Cricetulus griseus: one gene and its partners. The protein of the gene in region 1 interacts with the protein of each later gene in a pairwise test. Links are inferred from orthologs where the notes say so. Each region holds a gene or a part of one and is shown in the gene's direction. Other genes may lie near its edges. The genes, in order: Trim27, Gem, Cwf19l2, Tuft1, Cchcr1, Arhgef3 and Psmb1.

What was found.
Region 2: the proteins of Trim27 (region 1) and Gem interact in binary tests that used the Homo sapiens proteins (3 or more experiments, as listed by UniProt). The two-hybrid records come from large-scale screens. The link is inferred for Cricetulus griseus from reciprocal best matches to the Homo sapiens genes TRIM27 and GEM.
Region 3: the proteins of Trim27 (region 1) and Cwf19l2 interact in binary tests that used the Homo sapiens proteins (3 or more experiments, as listed by UniProt). The two-hybrid records come from large-scale screens. The link is inferred for Cricetulus griseus from reciprocal best matches to the Homo sapiens genes TRIM27 and CWF19L2.
Region 4: the proteins of Trim27 (region 1) and Tuft1 interact in binary tests that used the Homo sapiens proteins (3 or more experiments, as listed by UniProt). The two-hybrid records come from large-scale screens. The link is inferred for Cricetulus griseus from reciprocal best matches to the Homo sapiens genes TRIM27 and TUFT1.
Region 5: the proteins of Trim27 (region 1) and Cchcr1 interact in binary tests that used the Homo sapiens proteins (3 or more experiments, as listed by UniProt). The link is inferred for Cricetulus griseus from reciprocal best matches to the Homo sapiens genes TRIM27 and CCHCR1.
Region 6: the proteins of Trim27 (region 1) and Arhgef3 interact in binary tests that used the Homo sapiens proteins (3 or more experiments, as listed by UniProt). The link is inferred for Cricetulus griseus from reciprocal best matches to the Homo sapiens genes TRIM27 and ARHGEF3.
Region 7: the proteins of Trim27 (region 1) and Psmb1 interact in binary tests that used the Homo sapiens proteins (3 or more experiments, as listed by UniProt). The two-hybrid records come from large-scale screens. The link is inferred for Cricetulus griseus from reciprocal best matches to the Homo sapiens genes TRIM27 and PSMB1.

Annotation. Positions count from the first base shown.
Region 1 is NC_048596.1:243,539,132-243,542,631, forward strand, and holds part of Trim27 (zinc finger protein RFP), read left to right. Parts: intron 1-2,430; coding exon 2,431-2,546; intron 2,547-2,666; coding exon 2,667-2,699; intron 2,700-3,500. UniProt on the Homo sapiens protein: E3 ubiquitin-protein ligase that mediates ubiquitination of various substrates and thereby plays a role in diffent processes including proliferation, innate immunity, apoptosis, immune response or autophagy.
Region 2 is NC_048595.1:125,837,883-125,842,085, forward strand, and holds the start of Gem (GTP-binding protein GEM), read left to right. Parts: upstream 1-1,403; 5' UTR 1,404-1,560; intron 1,561-3,043; 5' UTR 3,044-3,052; coding exon 3,053-3,380; intron 3,381-4,203. UniProt on the Homo sapiens protein: Could be a regulatory protein, possibly participating in receptor-mediated signal transduction at the plasma membrane. Has guanine nucleotide-binding activity but undetectable intrinsic GTPase activity.
Region 3 is NC_048597.1:118,076,406-118,080,623, forward strand, and holds the start of Cwf19l2 (CWF19-like protein 2), read left to right. Parts: upstream 1-1,418; 5' UTR 1,419-1,441; coding exon 1,442-1,549; intron 1,550-4,218.
Region 4 is NW_023276806.1:61,778,974-61,782,473, forward strand, and holds part of Tuft1 (tuftelin), read left to right. Parts: intron 1-1,154; coding exon 1,155-1,229; intron 1,230-1,599; coding exon 1,600-1,701; intron 1,702-3,500. UniProt on the Homo sapiens protein: Involved in the structural organization of the epidermis. Involved in the mineralization and structural organization of enamel.
Region 5 is NW_023276806.1:229,456,643-229,460,824, forward strand, and holds the start of Cchcr1 (coiled-coil alpha-helical rod protein 1), read left to right. Parts: upstream 1-1,382; 5' UTR 1,383-1,397; coding exon 1,398-1,689; intron 1,690-1,695; exon of another isoform or gene 1,696-1,713; intron 1,714-2,240; exon of another isoform or gene 2,241-2,263; coding exon 2,264-2,415; intron 2,416-2,635; exon of another isoform or gene 2,636-2,700; coding exon 2,701-2,767; intron 2,768-2,983; coding exon 2,984-3,185; intron 3,186-4,182. Other genes in the region: Tcf19 (transcription factor 19), read right to left, coding at 325-562. UniProt on the Homo sapiens protein: May be a regulator of keratinocyte proliferation or differentiation.
Region 6 is NW_023276807.1:192,292,872-192,295,283, reverse strand, and holds the end of Arhgef3 (rho guanine nucleotide exchange factor 3), read left to right. Parts: intron 1-1,505; coding exon 1,506-1,855; coding exon of another isoform or gene 1,856-1,907; 3' UTR 1,908-1,912; downstream 1,913-2,412. UniProt on the Homo sapiens protein: Acts as a guanine nucleotide exchange factor (GEF) for RhoA and RhoB GTPases.
Region 7 is NC_048595.1:294,438,057-294,442,322, reverse strand, and holds the start of Psmb1 (proteasome subunit beta type-1), read left to right. Parts: upstream 1-1,466; 5' UTR 1,467-1,517; coding exon 1,518-1,627; intron 1,628-4,266. UniProt on the Homo sapiens protein: Non-catalytic component of the 20S core proteasome complex involved in the proteolytic degradation of most intracellular proteins. This complex plays numerous essential roles within the cell by associating with different regulatory particles.

The DNA of each region.
Region 1 (3,500 bases):
GGTGCTGTGGTTTGGGTGTGAAGGCACTACTTCCAAAGCTTGACAAGAGTACAAGAGCAGATTATGACTCTTATTTCCTACAAATTGCAGATTTTTCCCATTTTCTTATCTCATTCTTTAGTATAATGGGGGAAATAAGGCCTAAGGAAGATGCATTGATGGGTCACATGGATTCTGGCTATAGTCATTTCTCTACTGTGCTGTCAAGTGGAAAGTGAGTGTAGCTCAGTGGTATGGCATGTGTTTGCCTTAGCCATGCACTAGAAATGGAGGGAAGAGCAGACCAGAGGAAAGGGAGATTTTGGAGCAGGCAAGAAGACAAGACAGTTAAAGCTGTAGGATAGCTTCAGGCTTTAGAAAGATTACCATATTTAATATGGGAATGCCTAAAGGATGAGACTGACTTTGACAAAGCTGAATTTGGAGGTTGATTAAAGTCCTTTAAAGGAAAATACAGTTTGATGGGTTGGCTGGGAGATGTATGCAGATAACTATAGTTCTCAGAGCTCCTGAGATGCAGAGGGACTGGAAGTTCTACCATTCCCAGTTGGGTGGCTAAGAAAATAAGTCTCTGTCTGATAGATTTCAGTTTGTTTTGGTTTGGTTTTGAGATAAGGTCTTCTAGAGTGGGCTAGTCATGAATTCTGATCCTCCTGCTCCATCTTCTTAACACAGAAATTATAAGCATGATCTATAATGCCCAGTTTTGTGTTTTGTTTTGTATGGGGGTTTTTTGAAGTTTGTTTAGTTTTGGTTTTCCCTGTTCTGTAGTACCAGGTATTGAACCCAGGGCCTTTCACATGCCAGAAATACGCTCTGCCACTAGTCCATGTGCCCTGCTCTATTTTCTGGTTTGTGATGCAGGCCTGGGATGGCAAGCCATCAACCTTACAGAGACACACACAGACATATACACATAAATAAAAATAAATTCATAATTAATTAACTAATTAATTATTTTTGGTTCTTTGAGAGAGGTTTCTCTGTGTAGCTCTGGCTGTCCTGGAACTCAATTGACCAGGATGACTTCAAACTCAGAGATCTACCTACTTCTGCCTCCCCAGTGCTGGGATTAAAGGTGTGTGCCACCACTGCCTGCTGGGCCTCTACTTTTTCTTTTTTCTTTTTTTTTTTTATAGGAAAAAAATAGATTTGGCTCTATGAGTTCTGAAATCTAAAGTTTCATTGACCTAAGGTTTAAGCATAATAACAATTTTATAATGTGTATATAGCTACAGATAGCTCTGTAGTTGGTATGGTGGCTAATTCCTTCCCATTTTACCATGCTTGCAGTGTGGTCCTCATTTAGACCAACAAAGCTGCTACAATGCTAAAATGATCTTTATGCAAATTTAAAGAAAAATTATTCATTTTTGTGTGTGTGTACATGGGTGGTCTCACACACATGATGGATGAGTACACACCACAACACATGCAGAGATCAGAGGATAAATTGATTGGTTCTTTTTTTACAGTGTGAGTTTAGGGAATACTCTAGCTGCAGATTCTTTACCTGATGAGCTATCTTCCCTGACCCTTTAAATTTCTATTAGATGCTTCTTAATCTCTCATTAGCTATAATTCAGTTATAAGGTCACAGGTGGAAGATTGACCAGCCATAAGTTAGAATGTGTGTGGAAGATGGGAGAAGGCAAGTCTGTGCTATACAGTCCCTTTTTTAGTGGTTAGGAAATTGGGTCTTATCCCTCACACGCACCTCTCTTTCTAAAGATGGTATTCTCGAATTCTCTCTGTTTGGGAATCTGAAAATTCTAGATATTTTCCCATAAGGTTTTTTTGTCATGGAAACTTTTGCTTTCTAGCAAGATCAGCTTCATAATTTATTTTGATATTGAAAAGTTTCTTTTCTGTCTGCTTTGTTTTGGAAGGTTGTTTTGGTTTGGGTTTTTGTTGTTGTTGTTTTTGTTTGGTTTGGTTTTTGTCTTTTAGTTTTTTGAGACAGGGTTTCTCTGTGTAACTCTGGAACTCAGATCTGTAGACCAGGCTAACCTGGAACTGGGAAATCTGCTTGCCTCTGCCTCCCAAGTGCTGGAATTAAAAGCATGTGCCACCACTGCCTAGTTGTTTTGTAAGTTTTAAAGCAAGATCCACTGTAACCCTAGATGGCCTGAAGCAAGCAGTGATCCCTTATACGCATTTGCCTCCTAAGGACTGGAATTGCAGGGAAGAGTCAATGCACCCACTTAAGGCTTAGTATTTGAAAAGCCATGAGCCAGTGCTTTGGGAGAGATGAAAATGACTAAGGTTATATCTCACTTTCTTCTCTAACAGTGATTTAGAGGAACAGTATAAAAGCTTGTAGTAGCTGATCCTACAGTGTGAGACAGGTTAGCTAGGTCTTGGCCAGGGCCTTAGGAAGTTGGAGAATTGAGGGAAAGGAGTCATATGGGGTTTGTTGTTTTATTTTAGGGCTGAAAGAATCAGGATCCCTGAGCCCTGGATCACACCTCCAGATCTACAAGAGAAAATCCACATTTTTGCCCAAAAATGTCTGTTTTTGACAGAAAGTCTGAAGCAGTTTACAGGTAATATGAGGAGATGAAGTGGGTTTATATTCTGATATCCGTATGTTATTGTCATCTGAGAATGTATTTCCCAATGGAAACAGAGTAATATAAACTGAATCTCTTCTCTTTTGTCCTTAGAAAAAATGCAGTCAGATATGGAGAAAATCCAAGGTAAATTTGCCTATCTACTGGGCTCTTGATATTTTATTTCTTGGAAAGAGCTGAGTATATTGAGAGTTCAGGAGGGTCAGGTCAGCAAAATGGCTGAGTAAGTACAAACCTGTTGACCTGAGTTTGGAAGTTGGAACTTGGTGTAAGGAGAGACCAGACTCTTACCTGTGCAGTATGATTTATGTCATCCCTCACACACATACATCATGCATATGTTTCCCTATCTCACATTATTGATTATTGTTATTGTTGTTTTAGTTTGGGTTTTGTTGAGACAGTCTTAATGTATAGCCCAGTCTAGCCTACTCTCACCAGTCTGCTGCCGCAGGGCTTCAGCCTCTGGGATTATAGATGTGCCATCCCTGCACTCCACAACTACATTTAGTTCAGTGGCTAGTTCAGAAGTGGCTTTCCTCACTCTGATTCTTGTTTATTTCTCTTCCTCTTCCTTTGACACTTCAAAGACTCTTGTGTGAAATCCCTGGCCAACTAGAAATCCCACATAAATTAATGATGGCAGTGGGTGTCATTTGAACCACTCAGCCTCTACAGCAGACGGTTTGTACAAATTAAGAGTTATAAATATGTATGTCGTGCATTTGAACTTTTGCCTTTGCAGAGTCTGGCGGCTCTCTGGAAGGTGGAATTCTTGATTGTGACTTAGTCTGATACTGTGTTCTACCAACTTCACACATGTTATCTGTATAGCCAGGGTTCCCAAGTCCTCTAGCCCTAAAAATCCTTCCATGAGCAAGGCATAATAATCATGCCCATAAACCTAATACTTGGGCAGCTGATCAG
Region 2 (4,203 bases), on another chromosome or scaffold:
ACTTGGTGGATGAAGAGCAGTATCCAGAGCATTGTGGTACCCAGAATGCACTTCCAGCTTGGCCATCTCCTCTCCGAGTGGCCTTCATCCACCTGGCTCTCAGATTCCTTGTGCATAAATAAAATTGTGCACTCCACATTTTTATTACTTGGTGGATTCTACCTTTGCCAGCTTGGTCCTTGACAGACCTCAGAAGCCAGTCACTTGCATAATTCCCAAATCAGATAGATGCCCAAGGAAAACTGGGAATAATCCATTGTACCCACAGCCTCTGCAAGAGACACTGGTGTTGCTGGCTGCTTCCCAGGCAACCCAGAGCAGAAGTTGGCTAGAGAAGCAGATGGATGTGTTGGACAGGCTAGCATGGACTCTAAACACAGCATGTGGGAAATGCCCATGTCCCTGGGAAATACCCAGGTCCTGGGGAAGAGGTCACTTAGTGGTGCAGGTAAAAAGTTACTCAAACTAGGTCCTAAATGCTGCCCCTGCCACCGGCCCTGATATCCTGCAGCATCTCTAGTTCCTCAATCTACGACTGTGGTAAGGAGCAAGGTCCCCGGGCCCACCAGTACCACAGGCTTTTGGAAATCCTAGCAAATGTTAATAGCAGTTGCGATCTTGTGTCCTTCACTACCAGGACTCTCAGGGGATTGGGCCTGATCATCTCCCCACGGCTGGGAAGCCCAGGCTCCAGGGCACAGTTCCAGCCATGCAGCTAGGTTCTGAGTTGCACCAATTGGGATGTGATTAAATTTCTGATTGAGAAACGTCAGCATTGTGGCCAGAACAGGAATGTTTATCGCAAGCTGTTTGGAGCCAAACTGCCCTTTCCAAGGTTTCCCCAGCTCTTTCCTCTGGCCCCTTCTCTTTGGGTCTCCAGCCAGAAGAGGGAAACAAAGTAGTGTGGTGCTCCCCTCTCCCCACCCCAGAGAGAAGGTGATGGGAAGCAGGAGAGCCCATTGCCTCTCAGAGCATGCTGTAAAACTGGCCTGCCCACCCAGTGTGAGAGTAGCCTGGAGGCAGAAGTCTTGCTCACTCAGGCTGATCTGCTTTCTTGGCAAAGCTGGACTCGCGGCAACTCAGGCTTGTCTCTTTCCCCATCCTTTATTCAGACAGCTCACAAGTGCCCTGCTGGGAAGGGCGATTAAGTAGCACTAAGTGTATTTTTCCAGTGTCCACCTGGTAAAAAGAAAATAAAACAAAATCAAGGAGGCCAAGGACTGAACTGTCATTTTTTTCCCTCTCTCCCCTCAAGGGGCGAGGGTAATCACATGACTGCTAGTAACTGATTTAGCCAAGTGGCTGCAACTTAAGAGTTTGCTGCAGCGCCGCCCCCTCCCAGCGGGAGCGCTGACGTCACGGAAAAGCCCTGTCGCGGGGCCGCCGGGCGTGCTATAAACGGCGGTGGCTGGCCGAGGTGGCTTTAGGAGGCGGCGCTGCCGGCTGATACCACACGGTCTCGGGCTGCGGAGCCAGCATCGCATCGCAGGCGGCAGGCATTGCAGCAGGCAGCAGGCATTGTGCCGACCGACTGCAGACCCTGTGGCCGGGTGCAACCAAGTAAGGGGGCATCGCGGAGGGGCAGTCGCGGTGGGAGCCGCGTCTGGGAGGGGAGTTCCGGGCCACTGAACTTTTTAAGTTGGGAAGGGAGCCCCCGGACCATGAGGTCTGTGCCGGAGGTTCTGCCATGGGAGAAAAGTTCAGGTGCAGAGGACATACTTCTCATGGGGGTTCCTTGATTCAGTCCCGGAGGAGTGTCACCTTAAGGATTAGGTGGCCAGGCGGCCATCAATCAGGGACTGTTTTTATGACTTAAAAAGAAACCGACTGGTTCTGGCTAGTGGCTTAGGAGTTGGGGTGTGGAGTAGGGTGTGTGAGCTCAGTGCGATCCTAGCGCTCGCGCGGGGCGCTTGCTGAGTTAACTGCTTCTGTGTTCTCTAGGGAAGTCTTGACAGAACAGACTTGTCAAGCAAGGAGGTGTTGCAAGGAGAAAGTAGTAAGAAGTTGTTGAGTGTCTTTTCGTTGAGTCTTTGACCTTCTGATTTACCTCAAGAGGGTGGAACATTGAGCTAACTAAATAAATTTTGGTGTAGACGAGGTTCGTTAAGAATGAAGCCCTTTCTGCACAAGTTGATGTGTGCAAATGTGAGCAGGTCCTGCCAGTGTGAGAAGGACTAGGCTCAGGGCTAGTATGCTAAACAGTATCTGTGGGCAAGAGGGCAGAGGTAAGGCATAAACCTTAAACACAAACTGCCCCACTCCCAAGTAATGTTCTCTTCAGGCAGTTGGAGAACATCAGGGCAACTTTACTAAACATGGAAGTTCCCCCAAAGTGCCTGTCCGGTCCAGCCAGGGGAGTGATGTCATTGCCACGTGCCTCCCACTGAGGCCCCAAAAGCTCCAAGACGCTGGTGCAATTAAGAGCCATGTTTAGACAAGAGCAGCTAACCTGGCCAGCTGGTCCCCAGCAACATTGACTTGTTGCTGATGGTAAAGCCATTTCTGGAGGCAGTGGGTTCCTTCCAGCTGCCTCTGTGCCACCTCCCAGTGGGATTTTCAAAGTTTCTTTAAGGATGGAGGTTGCTTATAGGCAGTTGGTGATGTTATTGGAAATGCAAATGACAGCCTGCCTAAGAAGCTGCGTGTGTATGTGTGTGTGTGTGTGTGTGTGTGTGTGTGTGTGTGTAAGATTTGCATGCTAGGGCCTTGGGGACTGCTTCATGGGTGCTCCTTATATTAAGAATGCTTGCTGGGTGTTGGTGGCCCACACGTTTAGTCCCAGCACTCGGGAGGCAGAGGCAGGAGGATCTCTGTGAGTTCGAGACCAGCCTGGTCTACAGAGCGAGTGCCAGGATAGGCTCCAAAGCTACACAGAGAAACCCTGTCTCGAAAAACCAAAAGAAAAAAAAAGAAAAAAAAAGAAAAAAAAAAGGATGCTTAATTCATACCAATCAAATGGAATGCCACTGACAACAGTATTTGGACTTCCTTGGGCCTAGCTCATCCTTGCTAATATTGGCATCTTGACTGCTTTGCTTCCTAGGACCCCACAATGACTCTGAATAATGTCACCATGCGCCAGGGCACTGTGGGCATGCAGCCACAGCAGCGCTGGAGCATCCCTGCTGATGGCAGGCATCTGATGGTCCAGAAGGATCCTCACCCTTGGAACCTCCGCAGCTGCCGCTCTACCACTCCTGAAGACCACTGCCGACAGAGCTGGTCCTCCGACTCCACAGACTCTGTCATCTCCTCTGAGTCAGGAAACACCTACTACCGAGTGGTGCTTATAGGGGAGCAAGGGGTAGGCAAGTCCACCCTGGCCAACATCTTCGCAGGTGTACATGACAGCATGGACAGTGACTGTGAGGTCCTGGGAGGTAGGTGGGCTTCTGTCTTGTAAGCTGAAAAAGCAAAAGTGATTGGGTCATTTTTCTGCAGAATTGGAAGCCAGAATTGGAATTACAGTTAATTAGAATTACACTTGTAATTCCAGCACTGGGAAGGCAGAGGTGAAAGTACTAGGAATTCAAGGTCATCTTCTGCTACATAGTGGCTTTGAGTTTAGCCTGGGCTGTGTAACTCTGTCTCAAAAAATAATAAACCAAAACAAAATGTATCTTCAGAATTAGGAGAAAATGAGATACTTGATACTGAGATGGGTAGCAGAGGCCAACCCTAAGTCCCAGCATATGTCCTCAGGACACAAAAGAAAAGAAATGAATAAGGTACACAGCACCAAGATCTATGACCTGAGCCATCGAGGGACTTTCTGAGGTCAAGTCTTCGGGGTCCAGGGAGGTGGACCCTGACCTGGACTACTTTTCAAGAGCTGACCAGTACAGACACCTTTTCTGTGTTTATGCATAAAACCAAACTGATTTCAGGGAAAGAAAAAAAACCTGTTGGAGTGCATCAATTAGCTTGTGCCCATTGATATTAGAAGCATTTACAAGTATAATTAGGTCAAACGCTATACTTGAAGTAACATAATAATTTAAAAAAACTGAAATATAAAAATGATGAAAGATGCCCTGTGTAGAGTCTGATAGGTTTTCCAGATGATTTTCTCTGTTTGGTCTTATTTTGACTATTTATTTATTCAATCCTTCTCTAATTCTAGACATAGTTTATAAAAAGATATACAACCACAGGTAATAGCTTTATATTCTGAGGTGGAAATTACCGCTCTAATGATCAGTT
Region 3 (4,218 bases), on another chromosome or scaffold:
AACAATATCAGCCTGGTCATCATGCTGGGATATGGAACAGGGAAGGTCAGGAGGGAAATTATCAAAATCTAGTTTTTAGTTTCCTGACATTTTCATTTCTTCTGCAATACAAAGGCTCGTGAGTATTGCTTCTTAACAGCAAAATGAACTTTCACAGCAGTTCTGACTAACAGAGAAGCCAGGTTACTGAAAACCAGCAGACCAGCTGCAGTATATTTCATGGTGTGCTCCTATGGGTGCCTTTGGTATTAGGTGAGCAGGTGCAGCAGCCCTTCCAATCAGCTCTGTATTGGCTGGTTACTCTCAGTGGGTACATCTGTGCAGGTTGCAGCCTTCTAAATGTAATGAATCAAATCAACAATAGCACTTGGTGGGGGGCATAGGGGTGTAACCGTTGAAGTTTGGCATTTTAAATTCTGCTGAGTTGCCAGAGGTAAAAAGAAAGAGAAATGGCTTATCTCAATTTTCCTATTACCATCCTTGTGAACGAATCATATGTAGCACAGATAAGAACTAGTATTTTGATACAGAGACTTATTTAAGCAAGATGCAGTAAACATAAGGTCCCTGCTTTTTTATTTTGGGGGAGGGGGTTAGAGACAGGGTTTCTCTGTGGCTTTGGAGGCTGTCTTGGAACTAGCTCTATAGCCCAGGCTGGCCTTGAACTCACAGAGATCCGCCTGCCTCGGCCTCCCGTGTTGGCATTAAAGGCCTGTGCCACCAACACCCAGCTTTCTTCATGAGAGAGAATCTTACACTCAATGCATCTCACACCCAATGATGAGAACTCTTCCTGCACTCAGGCTTGTGCAACACTCTCAACCTCTACAGGGTGTGTGAATGTGTGTGTGAGTGTTTTGTTTGCCTTTATCTAAGTACACCAAGGAGGTGAAGTGCCTGTGGAAGCCAGAAGAGGGCGGTGGGTCCCCTGGAAATAGAGCTACAGATGGTTGTGAACCTCCACAAGGCTTTTGGATCTGAACTTAGGTCCTTTGCAAGAGCAAACCACTCACCCATCTCTCCAACTCCGTTTCCAATATATTTAAAAACACCCACCAACAAAAAAAAAATAGTGAATCTTAGAGCAATTTTTTTTTTCCCTTTCCCCCCACGTTCTCCTGACTTTCTGATTAGCGTCCCTTTAGCCTGGTGCACCATCACAGGAAATCAGGCAAGAACGCAGATATCTGGATAGTAAGAGTCTTGATAAGACAGGAGCTAGCACAGTGCAAGGTACATCATTGCGCATGCTGATTATTAACTCAGCGAACCCCGCACACCTAAAACGCCCGCCGCGGGGCGGACTTCCAACGTTCCACCAAACCTTTAGCTCTGCCGCCTTTCAATCTGCGCCTGCTCCGTTGGCATAGTAACAGGCCAGGATTTGGTTCCTGCTTTGCGACAGTCGTAAACTGAGGTTTCCGGACGGCTTCCTCGCTTTATGACAGCTACAACTATGGCGGCGTTGGGTGGAAGATTTGAAAGTGCTAGGAGTATCGAAGAGCGAAAAGAACGGACCCGCATTGCCAGGGCCGAAGTGTTACGCCAGGTATCTCCGCTTTGGAGTGTTTTCTTTCCTCCTTTTAAGACCAGGGCTCACACTGAGCGCTTCCTGCACTTCAGGCCAGCACTCTCCCAGAGAATCCGTCTTTCGTTCCTGAAATGCTGTCGTTTTTTCTCTTAGACAGATCTCGGAAAGTTACTTAGAATTGCAGGACTTGACACTTCCGGGAGGTAGTCCACCTACTCCTCTCCTCACGTCGGTATTTCTCCATGTCAGGCTGTCAGCTGTTTTCCCAAAGCAGTGTCTCCTAAATTCTCTGCCCGCTCGCTTTGCTCATTCCCTTTGCAGAGAGATGTGATTGGGTTCCTTAGCTTTTAGTCATCTATTCTTGACATTTCTGCCGCCTGGATCGCTAGGTTTCTTTTTCTTTTTTTTTGCCCAGTTTAAAAAACATTGAGCAATACATCCCCCACTCTCCTTCCCTCTCCCCTCCCCTTCCACTCTCCCTCCTGCCCCTACTCTTCCTATTTACTTAGGAGATCTTGTCTAGTTCCTTTTCCTAGGGTCCTCTAGGTTCTCAGGGGTTGTGGCCTGTAGGCTGGTTGTCCTTTGCTTTAAGTCTAATATCCAATCATGAGTGAGTACATATTTGTCTTTCTGGGTCTGGGTTACCTCACTCAGGATTTTTTTTTTTTTTCTGGTTCCATCCATTTGCCTTCGAATTTCAAGATGTCCTTTCTTTCTTTCTTTCTTTCTTTCTTTCTTTCTTTCTTTCTTTTTTTGGTTTAATCACTGAGTAGTACTCCAATGTCTAAATGTACCACATTTTCCTTGTCCATTCTTCGATTGAGGGGCATCCAGGTTGACTCCAAGTCCTGGCTATTACAAGTAATGCTGCCATGAACATTACTGAGCAAATGTCCTTGTGCTTTGAGTGTGGATTGCTCAGTTTCTATGTACTGTACCACATTTGAAGACACCAGTTGTCTTGCAGACCGAGTCATTTCTTCGGCCTATTGGAAGTGGGAAACATTTGAGTACAGTGGGCATTCCTCCACTGTCTGTCTGTCTTTCACTGGGCATTTAAAATGGTTTATTACGGTTTTTCATGACAGTGAGACACAACACCAGACAGACTGATTGAAACACTGTTTAACATAAGAGACTCAGAATGTGTGTCTCCCCCAAAAGTTTGGTAAACAGAATTCTCATTAATATTGAAATATATGGAATTTATAAAAAATGGAAAAAGTAAATATTGAATTATCTGATAAGTTTTTCCAAACTGTGACTGCACAAAGGGCAAATTTGTAGTTGAAGAACAACAGTGTTTGGTAACAATTTGGTGGGGGGCTTAAGGGGAAGAAGTTTTAATAAGTTTAAATGTATATAAAGAATAGAAAAGATAGGAAGAATGAGTAATGATCGTCATATTTTTATGGGAGTGAGTACCTGGTCTCGGACAAATAAACCATTGTGATTTTTCATTGATCTCAAAGTAGATATAATAATATTCTTCATTATTGTCTGACTGGTATTTCCAGAAGTTTTGGGAGGAAACTCTTTATAAACTGTAATGAATTTTATAGGGATCTGCATATAGGACCAAACTCAGCTTTGATGTTTGAGAGGTAGATGAGAAAGCAGAAAAAACCTTGCATTGTTTGGCGTTTGTTGACTGTTGACTAGAAACTAGCAGTATGATCCTATCTTTTTTTTTTTTTTCCTTAGTTCAAGTTAGGGAACAAGCTTGTTTCACATGTAAGTCCCTTCTCCCTCTCCCTCCCCTCACCCCCATCCCTCCTCCCCCACCTCAACCTACCCCCCACCCCATCCACCCACCACTCCCCAGGCAGGGTAGCCCTCAACGGGGGCTCTGCAAAGTCCACCAAATCTTCTTGTGCTGGGCCTGGGCCCTTCCCAATGTGTCCAGGGCCAGAGTGTAACCCTTCATGTGGGATGGGCTCTCAAAGTCCCTTCTTACACCAGGGAAAAATACTAATCCACTACCAGAGGCTCCCTGGAGTGCAGAGGCCTCCTTATTGACATCTATGTTCAGGGATCTGGATCACTCTTGTACTGGCCTCCCAGTTAGCATCTGGGGTCGATGTGCTCCCCCTTGTTCAGGCCAACTGTTTCTGTGGGTTTCTCCAACCTGGTACAGACCCCTTTGTTCTTCATTCCTCCCTCTCTCCAACTAAATTCCAGATTTCAGCTCAGTGTGTATCTGTGGATGTCTGTCTCTGTTTCCATCAGCCACTGGATGAGGGCTCTAGGATGGCATAAAGAGTAGTCATCAATCTCATTTTAGGGGAAGGGTTTTTAGGTTGTCCTCTCCACCATTGCCTGGATTGTCAGATCATGTCATCCTTGTAGGTCTCTGGAGATCTCCCTAGTTCCAGATCTCTTCTCAGACCTATAGTGGCTCCCTCTAATATGGCATCTCTCATTCTGCTCTTTCTCCTCTATTCTTCCCCTGACTCAATATTTCTGCTCCTCTATTTCCTCTCCTCTACTCCTCTTCTCTTGATCTTATTGTGGCAGTTCCCTCTCCCCTACCCTTGTGCTCCCAATTAGCTCAGGAGTTCATGCCACTTCCCATTCCTGGGGTCCATTTATCCCTTAGAGTCCTTCATGTTTCCTAGTTTCTTTGGTGAAGATGATCCTATCTTTTTAAGAAGATTTTTTTTTTTTCTGAGACAAAATATTGGGGT
Region 4 (3,500 bases), on another chromosome or scaffold:
CCTCACACTCTGATAGTCAACCCCCTTGGAGAGGTGTTGTCATCCTCATGGAGTCACACTCTGATAGTCAACCCCTTGGAGAGGTGTTGTCATCCTCATGGAGTCACACTCTGATAGTCAACCCCTTGGAAAGGTGTTGTCACCCTTATGCCCTCACACTCTGACTGTCGACACCTTATTTTTTGCCATTCGAACTGAGACTCAGAATGGCTAGGTCCCTTGTGCATCCTAAATTTCTAGCCTCCTACTTTCCTCTCACTTTTGTTTTCTTTTCTAAGGTGTTTTAGTTGTCCCCACAGGTGTTTAATTTACCCTGAGTTAGGAAAGAATGTCTCCCTTGTCCTTTGAAATTAGGCTGATCTCAGAATAAATGCCCATAATCTTGCCTTTTATAATTTGGATCATTTTTATATGGCTAATAGAGGCTTAGTTAGATTCAGGTTTTTGTTTCTTTGTTTGCTATTTGCTTATTTTGTTTTTTGGACACGTCTTACTTGTATACTCCAGGCTGGCCTCGAATTGATAGTCTTCCCGCCTCAGCCTGTTAAGTGATGAAATTATGTGAGTGTGTGTGTGTGTGTGTGTGTGTGTGTGTCCATTCCTAACTTGGAATTTAGGGTCTTACTGTTTGGTTCCAGAAGGATAGCCTAGGCTTCAAAAACTTCCCAGCTGGTTGCCAGGGGTAGAAATTCTGGCTTTAAGACCGAGTGCATTTATGTACACCTGTAATCTCAGCTTGGGGGAAGTGGGGGCAGGAAATTCAGCAGTTCAAGGCTATCCTGGGCAACATGAGTCCCAGTTTTCAAACAAACAAGAATTTTGGCTTGGAGATGACTGTCTGGGGATAATTTCTCTGTTCTCTGGGGAAGGAGGATTGATACCCTGTGCTCTTGTGATCTGAGAATCACGGTAGGTCCCTGGGGCCACATGGAACCGTATGCTTATATAGTCAGTGTCAGGTGTAGTGGACAAAGGGTACTGTCAGAGACACGCCAGTACCCAAGCTGACCTTATAGTGGGCAAGCCGAGAGCATTTCTCTGGACTTGTCTTTGACTTGGTGATGGACAAGGCCTGACAGAGAGTACATCTTAGCTGGTTGTTCTTGTAGGTGTTAAAGGTAAGGGGTCACTGTTGCTGTTGTTGTCATTATTAGGGCAGCGTGGACATTCTCAGGCTGACCCTCCAGAGTGAGCTGACAGGAGATGAACTTGAGCACATAGCCCAGAAGGTATCACGGTGTCTGTTGGGGCAAGGCGTCCTCTCAAGCCAGTTCTCCCTTGCTGCTGACCCTTCACCCTAGTGTTGTCTGGAGCCATGTCTGTTGCTGCAAGCCTGAGAGCATCTCCTTTCAGACCCACCCAGCTAGCTCAGCCTAGTGCTTTGGGAAGTGGGAGACCCCACTAAAATGGAAGCTAACTCAAGTTTTCTACTAACATTGCCTGCCTGGTGTCCTTGTTGCTATATGGCTGCTCTTGGGGGGGGGGGTGCAGAGCAAAGAAATGAGACTGAAGCTTCATGTAGGGCTCTGTGTGGGTGGAGGGCAGGAGGTCCTGGTTGCTGTGTGGTTTCTAAGTCGCTTCTCTCTGTCTCTCTGGCAGGCGGGCAGGAACACTTACGCCATGGTGTCTGATCGCTCCTCTGGTCATTCTCTGGCTTCAGAACTGGTGGAGTCCCATGATGGACATGAAGAGATCATTAAGGTGAGCTTAGTCCACTTTCTCCTTTTCTTTCTGTCCCCCTGCATCCCCACCCTGAAGGTACACCAAGGGAGCTGCTGATTGACAGCTTATACAACCACTGGAGAGATCAAGAAGATGCTAGCTCCTGGTCATCTCCTGCAGGGGTCCTAACACACAGAATCCACCCTGCAGTGAGCAACTTTGGCCAAGCCTGGCCCCAGGCATGGGCATGAACAGTTTTTCTTCTTTTTAAAAAATAGCTTTAGAAGAAGCTGGAGAGTTGATTCCGTGGTTAAGAGTGCTTACTGCTCTTGTAGAGGACCTGAGTTGGGTTCCCAACACCTGTGTCAAGTGGCTCAAAACTGCCTGTAACTCCAGCACCAGGGAATCTAATGCCCTCTTCTGGCCTCCCCATGCATCTGCACTCATGTGCACAGTCTCCTGAAACTTTTACTTATATTGTTTTATTATTAATAAAAATTCGGGATAAAAACACTAGAAGAAGGGGAGAAGGGACCAATGACCTCCTCTCTCTCTCCTTCCCTGATCCAAAAGGACCCCTGAATCTTTCTTTTTCCTTTATATATATATATATTTTTTTTTAAAGATTTATTTATTATGTATACGGTGTTCTGCCTGCACACCAGAAGAGGGCACCAGATTTCATTACTGATGGTTGTGAGCCACTGTGTGGTTGCTGGGACTTGAACTCGGAACCTCTGAAAGAGCAGCCAGTGCTCTTAATCTCTGAGCCATCTCTCCGGCCCCCATAAATCTCTCTCTCTCTCTCTCTCTCTCTCTCTCTCTCTCTCTCTCTCTGTCTCTGTCTCTCCATCCATCCATCCATCCATCCATCCATCCATCCATCCATCCTGGGTTCTCCAAAACCTCTATGGCTAATTTTGGTCAGCTAGTTGCTAACTCTGTCCTCTGATTCAAAGTAAGCTTTATTGGCAGTTTTGGGGTTTCAGTGTGAACAAATACCCTGCATCAGTCTCCTATACAGACATACATACATATACATAATTAAAAATTTAAAAATATGTGGCTAGAGAAATAGATTAGTGGTTAAAAGCAGGATGCTCTTCCCAAGGACCTGAGTTTGATTCCCAGAACTACATGGTAGCTCACACTGTCTGTAACTCCAGCTTCAAGGGATCTAATGCCTTACAAGCTGCCAGACACATGTGGTATACAGATATACACACTGGCAAAATTCCAATGCATGTTTAAATAAATAAATAAATTTTAAATAAAAAATACTTTAAAATTAAAACTAACTTTAGAACAAATATAGAGTTAGAAAATTTGCACATGACACAGTGAACTCAGTTAAAATAGTCAATCAGTGGTTTTTACTGTTGTTATAGAGTTGTGGAACCATCACCACTTTAAATTCCAGGGGTTTATGTTTTTGTTTTTATTAAATACCAGATCAGCTGGGTGGTGGTGGCACTTGTCTTTAATCCCAGCACTCAGGAGGCAGAGGCAGGTGGATCTCTGTGAGTTCGAGACCAGCCTGGTCTACAAGAGCTAGTTCCAGGACATCCTCCAAAGTCACGAGAAACCCTGTCTCAAAAAACCAATAAATAAATAAATAAATAAATAAATAAATAAATAGTAAAAAAAGATTTATTTATTTTTATGTGCATTGGTGCTTTGCCTGCACATATGTCTGTGCAAGGATGCCAGGTCCCTCAGAACTGAAGTTACAGACAGTTGTGAGCTGCCATGTAGTTATTGTGAATTGAACCAGGGTCCTCTGGAAGACCAGCCAGTGTTCTTAACTGCTGAGACATCTCTCCAGCCCTTCTTTACAT
Region 5 (4,182 bases), on another chromosome or scaffold:
GCCTTGAGCTGGGAAGGAATGCCTAGGTCACTAGAACACCGCCTTAATGGGAACAAGGAGGTTCAGCAACCCTGGACACTTGAGTCAAGTGTGAGCATAGTGCTAGAATGTCCACTTTACTGATGACACCCCAGCGCCTCCCTCCTAGCCCTGTGTGAGCTAAAGCAGCCGGGCAGGTTAGTCCTGCACAGCTCTCATGGGCAGATCAAACCGGATCCTGCTTGTCTGCTCTACCAGAGATTGACAGGGACTCTGGGAGGCAGGTATGGAGTCCCAGAGGCTCCCCTACTCATGCCATCCTGGGGCTGCCTGCTCACCGCTTACCTTGACTGCTGTGGTCCTCCAGGCTGACCCGCCAGTCGTCCCCTTGGAGCTCAGCGTGCAGCAATGCATGGACCCCAGAGATGAGGCCCGGCTCCTGCTGGGGCCGCAGGGCCACATCACACAGGTCAGCCCTGCAGCCCAACCGATAGGTGCAGCCTGACCTGGACGGGGGGTGGAAGGTGTAGAGATCACCGCCCCTGCCGCCCCCTATGCGCAGCAGCTGGAAGCAGGGCAGCATGGGGGGGTGCTCCCCTCTGCACCGCTTCTCAGCAGTTCATCACCTCTCCTACTCCCAGGCCATGCACCGGGGGCTTCGGTTCAGTTGTCTGACGTCAGCAGCCCCACTGTGGGTAATGCCAACTTGAGAAACACAGATTTCCAAGAGCGCCAGAGGCCTGGACACGCATGCAACCGCTGTAGCTAGCGGCTGTCAAGATGAGACTTCAAAAGCAATTCCGGAGAAGCCCTTTCGCGATGCAAAACCAGGAAGACGTCCTGTGGGACCTCCGTGATGCCGGGTCCTCAGGCCGCAGAATATCCGGGGAGGCTGTAGCAATCTGTTCAAGGCAAAGCTACTTTAAGCGGCAGCTGGGGACACCCCAGCGGGGTGAGGAGGTCCCGCTACACGGACGTGCGTGCGACACGAACGTGTCCCCTCGAGTGTAAGCAGGAGCCGGGAGGGAAGCCTACAGGTCAAACTTCCTAATCCAGGTAGAGCACCCCTTCTGTCCTGCCCCGAGGGAAGGGAATCCGCTGTCACCCACAAAGGGCGGCGCAGACAGGTCCCTAACTCTGCAACAAGGTGGAGCTCACCCTCTCCTCTTGCGCTTGCGGGGTGCCCCGAAGAAGGACTCCACACCCTGTGCCCCTCGCTCCCGCTGCGGTTTGACAGCCAGGAAGCCGCCCTCCGGAGGGCGCGGCTCGGGCGGGCGAGCGGGCGAGCCGGCGGGCGCGCACCGCGCAGACTCCTCCTACGGAATTCCCGGGTCCAGCTTCGCGCCTGCGAGCCCGCGCCCCTCCCCAGGCTGTCTCTGATTGGCCATCTGACTCGCCCTCCTCCGCTGTACTGGACGATGCGCAGGGAGGGGCCGTCCATCTCCCGCCCTCCGCCGTTTCTGATTGGCCTGCAGGTTTCCCGGGTTCCCGGGATGGGGCGGGGCCGCCAGGGCGCGGAGAAGGCCTGGAGGAGTCAGTGTGCCTGCGTGCGCCGTTCTTCTTCCTTCCTCCTTCCGGCAGGCGGGGCGAGTTGGGGCTTTAGAGCATCCCGCCAACCCCACCCGCCGCGCGCATGCGTGCTCAGGGCGGGAAGCCTAGCGGGGAAGCCAGGGGCTAAGGGGCGTGGCAAGAAGGCGGACCTCGCGCTGGGTAAGGAGCGTTCGGCCGGAGTCGGTTGGTTGGGGGCGGAAAGGGGCCTGAGAGGGGGTGCTCAGGAGGGTGGAGGGGGTCCACAGGGCAGGAGGGGTGCAGGAGCCCGGTGAAAGAACAGATGAGGAGGTCGGGGCAGCCTTACAGCTCAGGGTCCTAGTGAGGGGGATGAGCCCGTGGGTGTGTGCAGGAGAGGAGAGGGCAGACCTGAGGACAGCGAGCGACCGGGACCATAACGTCAAGAAAAATGCAGAGTAGGACTAGGAAGAGAAGCGTGTAGGGATCTCGTTGAGTGGAAAACAAACAAACAAACAAAAAATTTGAGTTCGGACGGGAGTTGGACAAAGAAGATGCTGCAGGACTCTGAGCAGCGAAGGGCTTCGGGAATGGAAGCAGAGGGGATAGAGAGAAACTGAGGCCCGCTGCAGGGAGACTCCGATGAGATAACAGGAAGCTGGCTGCCTGGCAACGCGCTCCAGGCTGCTTGCATTCCCTGGGGATCCTAGGGAAGCCGCTTAACCCTACATGAGGCCCCATTCTTCTGGTGCCAGGCCTTGGGCTAACGCTTTTGTAGGAAATGACCCAGAAATCATGGCGCGGTGGTGCCTAGATGGGTTTCCCAACGTCCCTACCATACCATGGCGAGAACTGTGGAGACGGGGTTCACAACAGGCCCGCTCACCTCCAGACCAGAGCTACAGGGATCGTAGACACTTAAGGAGGAAGGTAAAGGCACCACTCACAATCCTGTAGTAGAAGCAAAATCCCCAAGAGCATCCCCTGGCCCCCATCTCGGTACATTTACCCCATGATTGTTGCCTGGTTCCTTTGTCAGGAGCGTGTGTTCGGGACAAGCAAGTCTGCCTTGTTAGGGAAGTAGGGAGAGAGAAGCTCAGAGCTGGGCAGATCTGTCAGTAACTGAAGGATTGTGGCTTTGTTATTATAGGACTTCCTCTTTGGAAGGTGGCCTGAAAACTGAACTGGAGTCTCCTTGTTTCTCCTACTGTCCAGGGGAACCTACACTCTTGCGGACAAGATCGAGAGGCTTCAGATAGAGTGGAGATGTTGTCTCCCTCAGGTCAGTAAGGCCAATCAAGGAGGCTGGGAAGTCTCTCTGTGTCTCTCTGCCTCTGTCTTTCTCCCTCTCTCCCTCCCTCTCCTCTCTTTCTCTCCCTCTCTCTCTCCTTCCCTTCCTCCCTCCCCCTCCCTCCCTCCCTCCCTCCCTCCCTCCCTCCGTCTTCCTCTCTCTCTCTGAGAAACTGACAGTCTTTACTCTTGTGACCCACCCCCTCAGGTTTTGCTGGACTGGTTCCTCCCTCCCACTTCCAAGCTCGGCCGAGAATGGCCCCGACCTGGGCTTCAGACATTCCCCAGTTCCAATCCACATTTGACCAAGATGTCCTAGAGAGGCGGCAGCTGGACTCTCAGAGGCCCACAGTGACCATGAGGGAACAGGATGTCTATGGAGATGGGCAGGGGCCAGGGCAGAGAGGCAGGTAGGGATCTGTCAATCACCTTTTTCTCAGACTTGCTAATGATCCTTTATACACACATTCCTTTATTTCAGCAGCCCTGGGTTCCATAACTTGTGTGGTTTTCTGTAGGCCATTGTTGGTACCTACACTGCATATACCATTATGCCCTGGAGAAAATCAAGAGAGAGGAGAGAGAGAGAGAGAGAGCGCGCGCTCTGGACTTAAATTCCCAATTAACAAGTGTTGCTAGAGTTTCTTTTCCTCCAGGTCCTGCCACCGCTTCAGCCCCAAATAAACACACAGACACTATATTAGTTATAAAACAGTTGGCCAATGGCTAGGGCTTCTTGGTGGCTAGCTCTCTCTTCATCATTAACCCACTTCTATAAATCTATGTATTTCCACGTGGTCTTGGCTTACCAGAAAATGCCCAGACCTGTTACTCCTTTGGCAGCTACATGGCATCTCCTCCCTGCATCTCTCCCAGGGTTCTCCCTGTCTCCCTGCCCCACCTATCTTCCTGCCTCTTTTGGCCAAACAGTGTTTTATTCATCAACCAATAAAAGAAACATATATACTGAAGGGCATCCCCCATCATCTCCTCTTTTCTGTCTAAATAAAAAGAAGGGTTTACTTTTACTTTAACATAGTAAAATTATATATAACAAAAACAGTTATCAAGTAAAAACATATAGTTAACAATAAAGAAGGAGTGTAAATGTCTGAGGGAGGAGATGGATTGCCCAGAAGCCATTGTGAAACGAAGTGACATGCTGGCTCTTAGTTAAAAGGGCCTTTCCCGGCATACACCACTGGAGCTGGCTATGCTCGGCATATGTGGTTTAAGATTTTATTTTTGAGCCGGGCATGGCCTGCCTTTAATCCCAGAGAGGCAGACAAGCAGGCAGATCTGAGTTCAAGGCCACTCCCTCCCTGGTCTACAGAGTGAATTCCCTGACAGCCAGGGCTACATAGAGAGAATCCTGTCTGGGGAAAAAAACAAAACAAAACAAAAAAG
Region 6 (2,412 bases), on another chromosome or scaffold:
CGGGGGCGTAGCATCTTCTAGGTTACTTCCTGCTGAAACGGGACGAAGATGGTCATGTGGGGGCCCTGTGGAAAAAAAAAACGCTAGTACAGGGAAAGTCTCTAATGAGTTATGTCTAGTCCATGTTAGATGATTTGTTTGATTGAAGATCTACGTTGAAATCCTCAACTTGATTGAAGTCGTTACTCGAGGTTCTGGTTGGAGTGTCAGTCGAAACGGAGTGAGTTGAATCCAGTGTAGTCAGGAAGGTGTAGTCCAATTCCTTTTCCGGAGCATGTAGGGATTGCTGTCAGGCTGGGTCTTGATGGCTGTATGGGACTCAAACATAAGTGTCATCAGAGAAATGTTCGCTTGTTTATGTATGTGTACTGGAAAAGGTACCTTGATGAACCTTGACTAACAACGATTCTGAGAGGGTGTAAAAGAAAAGCCAAGAAAAACAAAGATAGTCCTCTTATTCTTTATTTATTCTGTATTATAGCAATTGGCTTCTTGATATAACACAGAAACTTTTAAATGTTGTTAAATAACATACTTGGATTTTAGAGTAGGAAAGCCAAACCCAACTCTAAATCCAGTCTCGATTTAGTTGAATAGGGACCAGGAAATGAATAGACATAGAGTTATTTGAGAGACAGCTGTAAATTTTTACCGTATAGCACGTTCTTTTTGTTCGATGGTTATAGCTACGTTCTTTCCTTGAGTATCCATACATGTAATGTCCTTCCACCTGGTACCTGCCCCAGGACTATTGGGCGGGGCTAGGGTTACTCCCTACACATAGTGGTACATGCCTAGGATCTTCATCCCAGCACCTGGGAGGCAGAGGCGGGTGGATCTCTGTGAGTTTGGTCTACGTAGTGAGTTCAAGGCCAGCCAGAACTACTTAGTGAGACTCTGTCTCCAAATAATAATAAAATTGATAATAACGGAAAAGACAGAGATTGACAGGGTTATTTATCTTTTGTTTTTCTAAGATAGGGCCTGTATTTTTTATTAAAATATAATTGTGCTGGGTGGTGGTGGCACACGCCTTTAATCCCAGCACTTGGGAGGCAGAAGCAGGCAGATCTCTGTGAGTTCTAGGCCAGCCTGGTCTACAGAGCCAGTGCCAGGATAGGCTCCAAAGCTACACAGAGAAACCCTGTCTCAAAAAAAACAAAAAAAAAAAGAAAAAAAAAGAAAAAAGAAAAACCAAAATAATAATAATAATATAAAAATATAATTGCATCACTTCTCCCCTCTCATGTCCTCTCCAAGTGCTTCTAATATTTAGGCAGGTGTAGTAGCCAATCACTTCAGGGAAACTGAGCTAGGCCTGTGTCACTCTAGTCAATTGAGAGTGGCATCAGGATAGAACTGACTGAGTCCTGCATCAGTAGGAGACTTTCTGTATCGGCAGTGTCTGATATGGGTCCCAGGGCTTAGTGCCGCTATGGGTGGTATCGTTAGCCTTGGCAAATACCTACCAATTGACTCTCTTTTTATTTGTTCTTCATTTCTAGTTAAAAACTTCTTCAGAGTCAGTTTCAAAAATGGATCCCAAAGTCAAACCCACTCACTACAAGCCAATGACACCTTCAACAAACAGCAGTGGCTCAACTGTATCCGGCAAGCCAAAGAAACAGTTCTGTCTGCTGCTGGGCAGGCAGGGTTGCTGGACTCTGAGGGAATACTCCTGGGTCCTGGCACTGAGAACAGGGAGCCACAAGGAGAAACAAAACTTGAGCAGATGGACCAATCGGACAGTGAGTCGGACTGCAGTATGGACACCAGTGAGGTCAGCCTTGAATGTGAGCGGATGGAACAGACAGATGTCTCCTGTGCAAATAGCAGACCAGAGGAAAGTGTCTGACAGAGGGCTGTGCCCATGTCTTACCTGTACAGTATTGGCATTCCACACATGAACAGTTTGGAGAGGCACGCTGTAATACTTCTGTGCCTGTGCACATGTGTCCCTTTGTCTGTGTCTTGTCCCTAGTACTGTAACAAGCCACTGATGCTCTGTGTCAGCTGGAGTCTGCAGCAGCCTTTCCTCCATTGCTTTATCTCATAAGCATCTGGATGAGTGGAGAGGGAGTGAACAAGTTACTTTGAGTTATCCTTCTGGAGTTTTCAAAACAGGAAGGATCTCTAAACTACTGTTGTGTGTGGAGTGCGTTGACAAGTCCTTTGTCCTATGCTTCTCTAGTATTCCTGTAGCTCTTCAACACAGTAGCTGAAGATCTGGAATTGAGAAAGCCTTGCAGAGTATTGAGATGACATTCAAATAAAAGCTAGGAAAGTCCAACCCTTGGAGTGAACTCGGGTTCCGTGTTATTCAACCAGAATACATGAAAACATCTCTGGGGGTTTCTGAGGTTTGACTTTGTAAAGGAGGAAGCTTTGTTTGAACCCTGTGGTTTCATCCAG
Region 7 (4,266 bases), on another chromosome or scaffold:
CTCAAGCAAGCGATCTGTCAATGAGCTACATCCTTGGCCTCCCATGGGTGTTGTTGTTTTGAAAAAGGGTTTCTCTGTGTAGCCTTGGCTGTCCTGGGACTCGTTCTGTAGATCAGGCTGGCCTCGAACTCAGATCCTCCTGCCTCTGCCGCCGGAGCGAGGGGATTAAGGGCGTAGGCTACCACGCCCTGCCAGTCGAATAGGATTTTGCACTTACAGTGTTACCCTCGGCAAGCTCCCTACATCCTCCACTTAACGCCATAAAGCTGAATGGTAGTAGCAGCTGCCTCCTAGAAATTTGTGATTTCAATGACACGAATAGCATACCCTCAGTGAAAGTTAACTGGTATCTGAAGAACGACAACGACACAGGGGAGGTGGAGTCACAAATTCATTTACATTTTAGCTCAGCGACGAACAGCTGACTTCTGGGCTGTTCCAAGAAAACAGCAGTTGTCTCTTAGGTTGCTTCTTAACGTTTGATTGAATTCCAGCGTATCTTGATTTCTTCTTGATATGGTTCACCTAGGCAGAAAGGAAGTTCTGCTTATTCCCTTTCCCTTGGATTTAGCACTATCAACGAGGTGATAAGCTCCTTTAGGTTAGGGGTGTGTGTGAGAGATGGATATTACCTGTGTGTGTTATGTGCCTAGGGTGTTGACCTCTGCATGGATTCTAATAAGTACAATAGTATTGGTTACCTATTTTCTTCTAAATGAAACATTCTCTCTTGGAAGAATAGTGAACCTTAAGACATTAAGAAAACTTAACAAAGGCCTGACAAGAGGCAACTTAAGAGAAGGAGGTTCCTTTTGGCATACGGCTTGAGGGGTACAGTCCACCATGGGGAAGCCTGACGTCTGGAGAAGGGGGGAGTCACACTGCATCCGCAGACCGGAAGTCTAAGGAGATGAATGTTAGTTTGCTTTCTTTCTTTTTTTCCCCCTCCTTTTTGTTCAGAAAGCCAGGCAATGGGATGGTGCCACCTATATTTAGGGTGGGTTTTCCCTTCTCAGCTACACTGTCCTGAAATCACCTGCATAAGCATGCCCGCGAGGTTTTACTAGGTGATTCTAGATTCTGTCAAGTTAATACGATCCATCAGGCTCTGGCTGGCGAAACCTAGTATCGCTTCCTGGATCGCGTGGCTGCGTATACCACACAGCTGACCATGCATCTTGACCACTAGGACTTGAACATAGCAGGAGCTGCAACTCCTCAAATGCCACTTCACCAATGTGACAATCGGAGCTGTCATTGCTCTGCAACTAGTTTTTGTTTTTTTGTTTGTTTTTGGTATGGCCATGAGTGAATCGAATGTTTTCTTGGGGTTGGAAAACAGGTCTCCTGGAATTAATTGGTGGACCCCAAGCTGGATATGTAGCGGGGCATAGGCACAGACCTCCAAGAGCAACGACGAGTGCGGGCTAGAGGAGCCCGGTGGGAGGGGCGGGTCGGGTCGGAAGTGGACCTGTCCCGGCGGCCATTTTGCTGTGAGACAGCAGGAGCGCGGTGTGATGCTCTCCACGGCTGCTTTCGGGAACCCCGAGCGGGAGCTGGGCATGGGGCCTCACGGCTCCGCCGTCCCTGTGCAGATGCGTTTCTCGCCGTATGCCTTCAACGGAGGGTAAAAGCTGGGCTCACCTGGGGCGGGCGGGCGGCTGTGGGGATGCAGCCTGTCGGGGCGCTCCGCAGCCCGGCTCCCGGAGCCCTGCACGGACGCCTTCGGGATCGCATGCTTCCCGCATTCCTCAGGGCAGGCGCCCACCCTAGCCCTCTGCTCCTAACACTGTCGTCTCTTGGGGCTTGAACACGTCCCCACAGCCAACGGGCGAGGGGGGCCCTGTCCTCAGCACTGATTTGTCCTGGTGGCTTTGTAGATCACTGTTTTGTTTTTTTTTTCTCTTAATGCTCGTTTGGTTTAAGTTCAGGGATGAAATAGGGGTTGTTTTGTTCTACTCTGCGACTTGGCCTGCTGGGCAGGTTCTGCTGAGCTGTGTCCCCGGCCTTAGACGGTTGACTATGTGTGAGTGTGTGTGTGTGTGTGTGCGCGCGTGTTCTGCTGAGCTGTGTCCCCGGCCTTAGACGGTTGCGTGTGTGTGTGTGTGTGTGTGTGTGTGTGTGTGTGTGTGTGTGTGTTCGTGTTCTGCTGAGCTGTGTCCCCGGCCTTAGACGGTTGCCTGTGTGTGTGTGTGTGTCGTGTTCTGCTGAGCTGTGTCCCCGGCCTTAGACGGTTGCCCCCCCCCGCTCTCTGTGTGTGTGTGTGTGTGTGTGTGTGTGTGTGTGTGTGTTCGTTCGTGTTCGTGTTCTTACTCTGAAATTGCTTGCGCCTTTAAATTATCCGCTTTGTTCGAAGGGATGTCTTCACCTCGAATTTAGGACCTTTGGCAATATAGGTAGTTTTCATCAATTTTATACCTATAAACAACCAATTATCAAAAAAATGTGGCTTGTTAAGAAAAACATTCAGGCAGTGGTGGTGGCGCATGCCTTTAATCCCAGAGGCAGAGGCAGGTATGGATATCTGTGAGTCGAAGCTAGCCTGGTCTACAGAGTGAGTTCCAGGACAGCCAGGGCTACACAGAGAAACCCTGTCTCGAAAAACAAAACAAAACGAAGAAGAAGAAAGAGGAGGAGACAGAAACGAAAAACAGTTGGGATAATCCCAGCACTCGGGAGGCAAAGGCCAGTCTGGTCTGCAGAGCCAGTTCCAGGGCTATAAGGAGAAACCTGTTTCAAGAAAAAAAGAAAAGAAAAAAGATTAATTATGTCTTTATGGATGCTGAAAATACACTATATAGGCAGTGAAATACTAATTTTAGCCTTGGTTGTGGCTTTTGAAGAACAAATGTGAGTGTGTGCTATGTGGGTTCCTTTCAGTTTCTTGAAATAATATGTTGAAAGAGACTCAAGGTGGTTACATTTTTGTAAGCTGGCTGCAAGCAGTTAAGGGAATATTTCATAGTGTTAGTCCTTGGCTCTTGGCATTTAAACAGCTTTGTCTAAGAGCTTGTTCGAATTAGAACCAGTTTTAAATTCTTAACTTTCGTTTTCCAGTGTTGGTCTTAACTCTGCATGTGAACACTAAGTACTTACATTGTAAGGCTTGTTAATAGTGTTCTGAGTGCAATACTCACTATTTACCTTTTAACCTCCTGTAGTTCCTCTTCATCTGTTACTTTCCAAACAGTTACTTACAGTTCTATTACCCCGCCCCCCTTCCTTTTAGAATTTTTGCAACTAGCCGGACAAGCAGCCTCTGGTTCAAAAGATGGTGTTAATTTCTCTTTGTAGCTTCCAGATTTTGTTACTGAAGACCTTTACATGCCTAATCCCTGGGAACATAATTCCAAAATCCATTTCTGTAACCTTATTTCTCAAAGGCCCCTACATTTTGACTTCTTTGGGAAAACATTTCTAAAGTGCATTTTCTGTTTTCACCGTAACTCATGTTAGTATAAAAACAAGCAGGGTGGTTATTCCCTTTCAGTCACTTCTGCTCCTTAAAAAGTGCCCCTTGTGATTATGTCATCACTCTGCCTATCTTGGGATGTTTTAGCTGTTTTTCCCACAAAACATATTTAGGTAGTTATAAAAACTCAGTTGCATACGTTGCCGATGTGTTTTCCTTTTTCTCCCTCTTCATCCTGCTTCCTATCTCATCACTCTGACTGGAACAGTATTGCTATCCCATTTCATATACTGTATTATTGCCAGAATTGTCTGAAAACCTGTTTCAAATGGAACTTTTCTCATTCTTGATTGTATAAGCTTTGGGACTCCTTGCTAAAATTGTAAAATTTAGCTTGGCACTTGGGATCTTCTACAACAGTTCATCACAGTGTGTATGTTTCTAGTTACACAAAGGATCACCTCAATTAAGTTGCTTGTAATGTCTTTTTACCTTCTGTTGCTGTTCATGGTTTGTGGAATGTCATCCTCTCTGCTTTAGTACAGAACTGGTTTCTGTAAAATACTGGGTAATGTTTCCTGGGTGTTTATTTCCTAGAAGGTTAACTATTGTAGGTACTTTAATGTGAATTATGTAACACAACAGGTACTGTCATTACCATCATGAAGAATTTATCCAAAGTCTTACAGCTATTAAGTGGCATGAATAGGCCTCTCCCTTAAGTAACAGTGCTCAGGTGCTTAGTCATACAGTACAGCCCCACCATATGCCACAGTGATGGTTGTTCACTTACTAGACCAGTCATGCAGCAGTCAAGTGTCAGGTGGACTTTATAGTTGTCAGCTCATTTTATC